Linked DNA regions of Daphnia pulex. The protein of the gene in region 2 interacts with the protein of the main gene of each other region in a pairwise test. Links are inferred from orthologs where the notes say so. Each region holds a gene or a part of one and is shown on either strand. Other genes may lie near its edges. The genes, in order: RING-box protein 2-like and casein kinase II subunit beta.

The links.
Region 1: the proteins of casein kinase II subunit beta (region 2) and RING-box protein 2-like interact in a two-hybrid assay, tested with the Homo sapiens proteins (2 studies listed by BioGRID). The link is inferred for Daphnia pulex from reciprocal best matches to the Homo sapiens genes CSNK2B and RNF7.

The regions. Positions count from the first base shown.
Region 1 is NC_060024.1:9,935,128-9,938,868, forward strand, and holds the end of RING-box protein 2-like, read right to left. Parts: coding exon of another isoform or gene 3,327-3,741; exon of another isoform or gene 3,277-3,326; intron 2,874-3,276; exon of another isoform or gene 2,717-2,873; intron 1,066-2,716; coding exon 953-1,065; intron 886-952; coding exon 820-885; 3' UTR 729-819; downstream 1-728. Other genes in the region: uncharacterized protein LOC124200065, read left to right, coding at 1-43, 136-346, 423-565; facilitated trehalose transporter Tret1-2 homolog, read left to right, coding at 3,327-3,741. UniProt on the Homo sapiens protein: Catalytic component of multiple cullin-5-RING E3 ubiquitin-protein ligase complexes (ECS complexes), which mediate the ubiquitination and subsequent proteasomal degradation of target proteins.
Region 2 is NC_060025.1:6,072,821-6,076,971, reverse strand, and holds casein kinase II subunit beta, read left to right. Parts: upstream 1-1,287; 5' UTR 1,288-1,427; intron 1,428-1,458; exon of another isoform or gene 1,459-1,528; intron 1,529-1,796; 5' UTR 1,797-1,800; coding exon 1,801-1,872; intron 1,873-2,101; coding exon 2,102-2,204; intron 2,205-2,277; coding exon 2,278-2,469; intron 2,470-2,589; coding exon 2,590-2,888; 3' UTR 2,889-3,449; downstream 3,450-4,151. Other genes in the region: FK506-binding protein 15-like, read right to left, coding at 9-160, 233-331, 418-568, 630-791, 872-927. UniProt on the Homo sapiens protein: Regulatory subunit of casein kinase II/CK2.

The DNA.
Region 1 (3,741 bases), on a different chromosome or scaffold from region 2:
GGGCCCAGAAAGTTTTTACAGCAGCAACGAACTGCGCTTGTGGGTCAGTTACCTTTCCTTGTTTAGTTTCAAATGAGATAACAAGTACGTACTTAAATGTGTTGACTTGTAACGCGTTCCGCCCCTATTTAACAGTTCAAGAGCACGTACGGCATGGCAAGGTTCTGCGTTTCGACCACTAAGGAACGTCCAGGAAACGGAGATCTCTGCAAGACCGCATTGAAAGCCGGTGAAACCGTCGAGTTTAAATTCATGCAGCCGTGTGGTAAAATGGTACCGGATCAGTGTTCAAACATCTACATTTCGGCTGCTCCCACCAACATTAACGACGATTTGCCCTGCGCAGGTACAAATTAAAATTTTTAACTTAAAAATGCTTTAGGATTTCTATGATTACGTTATTTGTTTTACCTTTTATTCAGATAAAGACTGCCATACGCCGGATCAAGTCAAATTCACGTTCAGCCACTCCGGCATGCGTTGCAACAGCGCTGTGGCAGGCGCAGTTCTGTCTCATTTGACTCTAGCTTTAGCTGCATTGATGACTTGGTTCCTCAATCGTTAACAGCGCAGAAGCCTAAAAATAAGCATTAAAATAACAGAATAGATTGTTTTAACAACCCATGATGATCAATCAATGAAAATAACACAAAATAACATCCCAAGTAGTCCGAAAAATCTTTCATTAAAAAAAAAAAGGAAAAATACACGTGTGAAAAAAAGACAAATTGACGACACTGCGTGTATTAATGAGTAGCAATTATGAAAAAAAAGATTGGAATTGTGTTTGTGACTTTATAATCACGAATATCAAGATCTTCATTTGCCAATTCGTTGGACGGACCACTCTTGTTGACAGAGAGGACAGCGGTTATTTTGCTTGACCTGAATTAAAGGGCGAGAAATCACGTTTAACTCATTTTGCACAATACATTATAAACAATTATGTTACCCATAATTTCATGCAGCAGTTGTGAAATGAATGGTTGCATTCGCCCCAGATGACTACACACTCCTCCTGTTCCTTGTCGTTTCTATTTTCGGCCTGGCAACGTAGGCATGCATCTGAATTGAGTACAAATTAAAGAAATTATTTTTATCTTTTCCTCGCTTTGTTGTAAATGGGGTTGGAAAAGTTTTTAAAAAACTAACAGCTTTGAGAATTTAAAATAGAAAAGGTTATCGGAGCTATCGATGTCGTCACTTTGTTGGGAGAGGTCGTGAGCGGCTCGTTCACTGCACTCTTTCGACCTTCGACTATCCTTTTTCCAACGAAGGACTAGGACAACATTTTAGACTTCAATTTCCTGTTATCCAAACAATTCCATAATAGGGAAAAAAGAAATTCAATGTTGACTTTCTCTTTTAAAATTTAAACTTGTAACATTTTACTCGATTTTTCTGTTAATTTATCATCATCTTCTAGCGTTACTCGATCCGGAAAACACTTAAACATTGGACTTTGAACCAAAGTTCACGCTGCTTTGTATGGTTACTACTCAATATCATTTCATCACCACTATGTCTTTCATATGAAGCTCGAAAAATATTCTCTTATACCGTTAGGTTACAACGACAACTCGCTCGAAGGCGATTGTTCCAAAAAGATGTAGAAAACCAAGAAAAAAAGAATTTTTGTCTTCCTCTTCATTCCTGTTCTTCTTTAGGTTAATCGGGTTATGGAATAGGGGGTTTGATCTTGGGTTATTTGGGCGTCATCTTGGCTGGTACTCTGGGGGGAGGGATACCGTATTTCCAACTAAAAAGGGAGAAATCCACCACGTCCTTCACCGTACCAGGCAAAGAACTGGTACGGAGCACATCTCCGTGGAAAGACGATAAACATCCCTCCATGTTTTTATGCCTATGACCTGTATATTTAAGAAAGCCAAAAAGGGGAAAAGGGGCAACAAGAAATATACCAAGGGATAAACACCACCCTATGTAAAATCTTATCTAAAGATGTGGAGGGTATCAACCCAAGAGCCAGACAGAGTATACTCAAAAGCAATTGAAAGTCAGTTTGTCAAGTTCAACGTCGTGTTATCGATTATTTACGGCAGGTGGAGCCAGTTTTCTCTTTTTATAACGTTGAAGTTATTGGCAAATTCAGAGTGGGTTTTTTTATTTTGTTACTAATGAAATCTTGTTGGCTCATTTAGGCCTACAGGGGGTTCCGATATACTTCGACGCTGGAAAGCCCACAATCTCCCAAAAGACCTATTTATGGTTTTTAACTTTCTTACCTGTATAAGAACCTATCCACCCCCTGATATATTAAGGGGAGAAAATCCTGCTCAAACTGCTTTCGACCGGTTCAAACTAGGCCGAGAACGTTATTAACCTTTCAATTTCTCCCTCTCAAAAGACCATCACTTAAACTTAAAAATTCACTTTCACTATGTTAAAGTCAATATTGACCTACTCATGGAGTGTGAAAAATTATTTTTGAGTCTGATTTTAAATTGCGATTTCGACCAGAATAGAAATCAGGAGTAGTGGGGGTCTGGGGGATAGCGATCCTTCTGTGGAAAACTATGACGTAATCCTAATTTAATTTTAAAACCAAAATAAATCGATTAAAAAAAAAAGGCCGAAGATCCCAGTAGGAATAAAAACCGGAAAAAAGAGGATTCGTCAAAAACATTTTGGGGGTTGGCGATGTGACGTGTGGTTAGGCTGAGCGTACTTCTCGCGATAGAAGATGAAAAAGAAGGAGGGATGAAACAAACTTGAAGAAACCGAGCGGCGCAGGGTAGGCCGTGCTGAGAAGTATAAAAAGACATGCGGACCCCACTAGCTCATCACACACATCCACTCGAATCCTGCGTCAACACAGCTCTTCAAGGCGTCCTCTATTTCTCCAGGCATTTGTAAGTTTAATTTTAGTTAGTGTTTTGAAACTCTGTTTTTTTTTTTTGTTATTTGTAACTTTGTGTTTACTCGAGCGGCGGAATCCAAGTCAAATAACACTCCGATTTATGTAAAATGTTTGTGAAGACGTTCGATTGTCTTAAAACAACCAAACCATCTGTGTTAAGATTTTTAAATCTCGAATCCATTCTATTGTCTAACAAGTTGCAAGATTGAAATTCCAAGCGCTTTAACAATTAGTTACTAATTCGTTTAAAAGGAGGCGTGATTGTTTAAAATGACTTTTTAATTAATCTCATATTATTAAATGTGTTTTAACTGGAAAAACCCGATTCTCTTGCGATTTTGGAGAAACCCAGTTTCTAATCGCTGACCCTATTTCTTTACTTTTCGACCTTGCAGAGAGTCCAAGAGCGTACGTGGATTAGGAGGTGAAAGAAAACTCCCCAAAGATGTCTACGGTACTAGGTCAGCAACCTTCAATTTGGTGCGATATCGAAGCTGTTGCCGAAGATAGACAAAACTGCCAAATGGAATCAGACAGCAGTAAAATTCACGCCATCATGCTGGCCGCCGAAAAGCGTGAAACTAGAAACAGAGACAGTGGGTGCGACTTGAGTTCCACGGGCACCGATTCACCCTCAAGTTACCGGTGGATTAAAGATGACAATTCCACTGGATCCTATTCCTGTTCCAGCTGCGAAGCCACTGTCGATCAAACTTCCGTAGTTTACCAACAGCTGGCTGAAACGTTGGCTCAAGCTCGACTCAACAATTCCGATTCAAAAGACCCGTTAGCTATACCTTCCACTTCAATGGTCGTCAGCGAATCGTTGATTGCTCTGAATCCAATCATGCCAGCTGACT
Region 2 (4,151 bases):
TGCATTACCGAGATATAAGTTTGGTTTTGTTACTATCTTGACTGAGTGTTTCATTTGCAATAGGGTTTGTTAATGGGCCATCTATTCTATCAATGGAAGACGCTTCTGCAGATGATGGCTTATTCATGTGTCCAGCCAAAACATTTTTCATTTTATCAATCTACAAGTAATGTCAAATACATTTAAATTATAGTGAATCACATATTGCTTACACTTAACAATTATTTAATACCTCTCCAAGAAATTTCTGAGCAACTTCTTTGGAATCAAACAGAATTGCCCAGTTTTGCATGTGGTCATCATAAAATGTACAGAAGTTGTTTGGTTGACTCTGCAACAAAACAGTGGAGAAACATTATTTAAGTTTAAATAGTAGTGTAAATAATCCCCCCCATCCACAAAAAAAATTGTACTTACAATTATGGTAAATTCTGAGGTGACCCTTACACTTGCTAGTGGTTTCTGCTTATTTTGGTAAAGGATTATCTGATAAGTTTTATTACTTTCATTTTCTTCCAATAAGGCTAATCCTATTTTTCCAGGAAGTGGTTCATATTTTTCATTATTTCTGGAAATGATAAACAGGAGAATAAAATAAATTAATTCTTTGATTTGGCTTTCCTCCTTACAGTTTATAACATGTGACAGCAGCTGCAGCAATAACTGCTTGGGACATGCCCTTTGTGGTTGGAAGTGTACTACTTGGAGGTTGTTTAGGTGCCGTATAGATTAATGACTTTGAATTGGATTGGTGGATCCCCGAATCGTGAAATATTGATGCTAAATTAGAACTAAAATAGCGATTTAGTGTTATAATTTTTTATATCATGAACATCTATTCCTAATAGAAATGACTTAAGAATGATATTACTTAATTGAAATTGAGCCAAAGTCATCATCTTCTTCATTTGAAAAACCGAATGACATTTTCACAACATTGAGTAGAGTTGATAACGCTTCACGGCGGATATATATATTCTATTATCGTTTACTGAATGAAAATCAATAGATGGCGTTGAAAAGATTACAGACAAGATTACGATGGAATTTCCGAATAAATAAACAAAAAAAGCCATCTAGCGGCTAATATTTACTGGAAATAAATAAGAAGAGACATTGAAAAGCAACGTACTACCTACTAGGCCTACTTCATTTCTTTATATTTTCTATATTATATTTTCTTCCTTCAAATTGTGTGATTCTAAGGAATGGGTTCTCTTTAATCATGTTTTTTATAAGAAAACTTCGCGCTTTCACCACATAATCATGAATTCATAAGGAATTACTTGTACTGCACACACACTTCTTCTTGTTACTAATAGATGTCACCTTACAGAAAAAAGCCTGTGTAGAAATAAGGCCCTAGGAGAAAACGAGATCGACTTCGCACACATATTTGTTAGGGTGGCGAACAGAGGCTTGAAGAGGTAAGATTTATTGAATTTCAACTGTTATGTTTACGATTAATTGTATTCAATTTTGACTTGGAAAATATTCAACGAAACAGGAGGGGTCATAGTGTACACGGGTATGGTAATTTCGTCGATTCAGCAATTTTTTTAGTGAGAGTCTACATAAGAATGAGAATGGTGACTTGGGGAGAGTTTACATTACGTGTTCTGAAGGGAGAGGTGTGCACAGTTTGCACACGCTGAAGGCTAGACAGGGAGAGAGGGCGCGCATTGCAATCAGTAAACTGATGAGTAGAAATCATTGATTTTTGGATTTGTGAACTACATCAACGGCTTTGTTAAACGAATTACATCACGTTTTGACACAAATTTTCTCACCCATAGAAAAATGAGCAGCTCCGAAGAAGTTTCGTGGATCTCCTGGTTTTGTGGCCTACGTGGAAATGAATTCTTCTGTGAGGTAAGATAAAATTAAAATTAAATTTGATGTGATAGGTCAAAACATATTAGAGCACTTAATATTTCAATCAGTTGATCAGAAAGTGGTAGAATTTGACTGATGAAAATCACAGAATTTTCTTTGGATTTTGCTATAACAAGTGCATTTGATTCATTAAGACTTGGAAAGGAATAATTGTAATTTCAAATTTAAACAATTAATCTAAGCATATTTTGTAATTGCTCAACAGGTTGATGAAGATTATATCCAAGACAAGTTTAATTTAACTGGACTGAATGAACAAGTACCACACTATCGGCAGGCACTTGATATGATTTTGGACCTAGAGCCAGGTATAAATAACCAATTGAATTCTTTCATTCATATTCTTAGTGTAAATCATTTATCCAGTATTTTTCATTTAAGATGATGATGTTGAAGACAACCCCAATCAGTCTGATTTGATAGAACAAGCTGCTGAAATGCTTTATGGGTTGATTCATGCTAGATACATTTTAACAAATCGTGGAATTCTACAAATGCTTGAAAAGTATCATGCTGGAGATTTTGGTCATTGCCCAAGAGTATACTGTGAGAATCAACTGATGTTGCCAATTGGTAATATAAAAAAATATGATTTTATTTGTTATTACTATATATTTTACTATTTATTATATTTTTAACTTTCACTAGAAATTTATCTTTTATCTTGAAATATTTTTGGGTTCTCCTTCTCAGGCCTATCAGATGTTCCAGGGGAAGCTATGGTGAAGCTTTATTGTCCAAAATGTATGGACGTCTATACCCCTAAATCCTCCCGTCATCACCACACTGATGGAGCGTACTTTGGGACAGGATTCCCCCACATGCTCTTCATGGTTCACCCTGAATATAGACCGAAAAAACCAACCAATCAATTTGTCCCACGACTTTATGGCTTTAAAATTCATCCGTTGGCCTATCAGATCCAACAACAGGGCGCTTCTAATTTTAAAGTTCCGATGCGTACTGTAAGCTACAACAACGGGAGAAAATGAAACTGAATCTGCTTATTCGCCACTTATTCATTCAATGTTACCATTTAGCATAGGCGACGTTCAGAAATTATGTACTGCGATTTTTGGCTTATTTTTTTTACCCCCTCCTCCCCCTCTTGTCAGATTGTCACAAAAGCCCCAACTCTAACAAAAACGTAACGTTTGCCGACCCCCATCCCCTATTTTCTGGAACTTAATAAAAAACTGAATGAAAATTGAATTAAAGTTGGTGCCTACATTTGGTTCCATTAGTTAAGCGCTTAATTGATTGGTGTTTCTCGTATCAGCCTATTCCTTCATTTGTGCTGTTCGTTTTTATGGTGAAAAGGTCGCAACACAAGCTGAAGAGATATTATGTCATGGTGCGTCAAGAGTGTCTCAACCCGGAATCCCATTCGTTTCTCGAAACCCATCTATTTCTTTATGTTCCGTACTACGAATCTACTGCATAACTTTTGAACGTCGCCATAGCAACTCAATACCCTTTTGATTGGTTACATGATTAACCCGAGCTGTACAACAAATTTGATGGAAACAAAAGATAATGAATTTTTTTCTTGATATGTTATGTACTTTATTTGTCAGATATTTAGTTATCTTAACACTTATGCTTCAAATCTACGTCAGGAAAAAGACGTAGGATGTTATTATAACCGTACAATGTTATAGAAAAAAAAGGCCCAAAAACCTAATAAGCTTGTTAGCTCCAGTGTATAGGAAATTCACTACGCGGTGTTAAGTTACTTGGAATTCTATTAAGTTTATTTTACTTTTTTGTTTGATGAGATTTGTCAGATGAATAGACCTTTTTCACAATGCGGAAAGTCGGGATTTTACAATCCGGCAACGCCGCAATCGGCCATCTTTGTTCTAATTAATTTTTCCCCGTGTAAATTCCCATAAGGAATCGGGGTCCCTTTACTTTTAATTCATTTTCTACTTATTGGTGTCTTAAATCAAATATATTTCTCGTGGATCTTGTTCCCCGAATAACTGGTAACATTTTCATGTATGGTAAGTATTACTTGTGGCTTATATTAATTATGTAATTTGAACTTTCATTAGGTTGTTTTGATTCTGGAATGTCAAAACCAAAACAGACATGTTGTGTGTTTGCCGTTTGGCTGCGGTAACAGATACAATGTTTATGAATCTGTTACTGTAAGTTTTGCATCCCAAAAGTTTTATTGGACATCCACAATATGTGTTAACAATTCCCTCAAAAGTATTTGGGGTTAACTAGTTTAAAATTTACTAATTCAA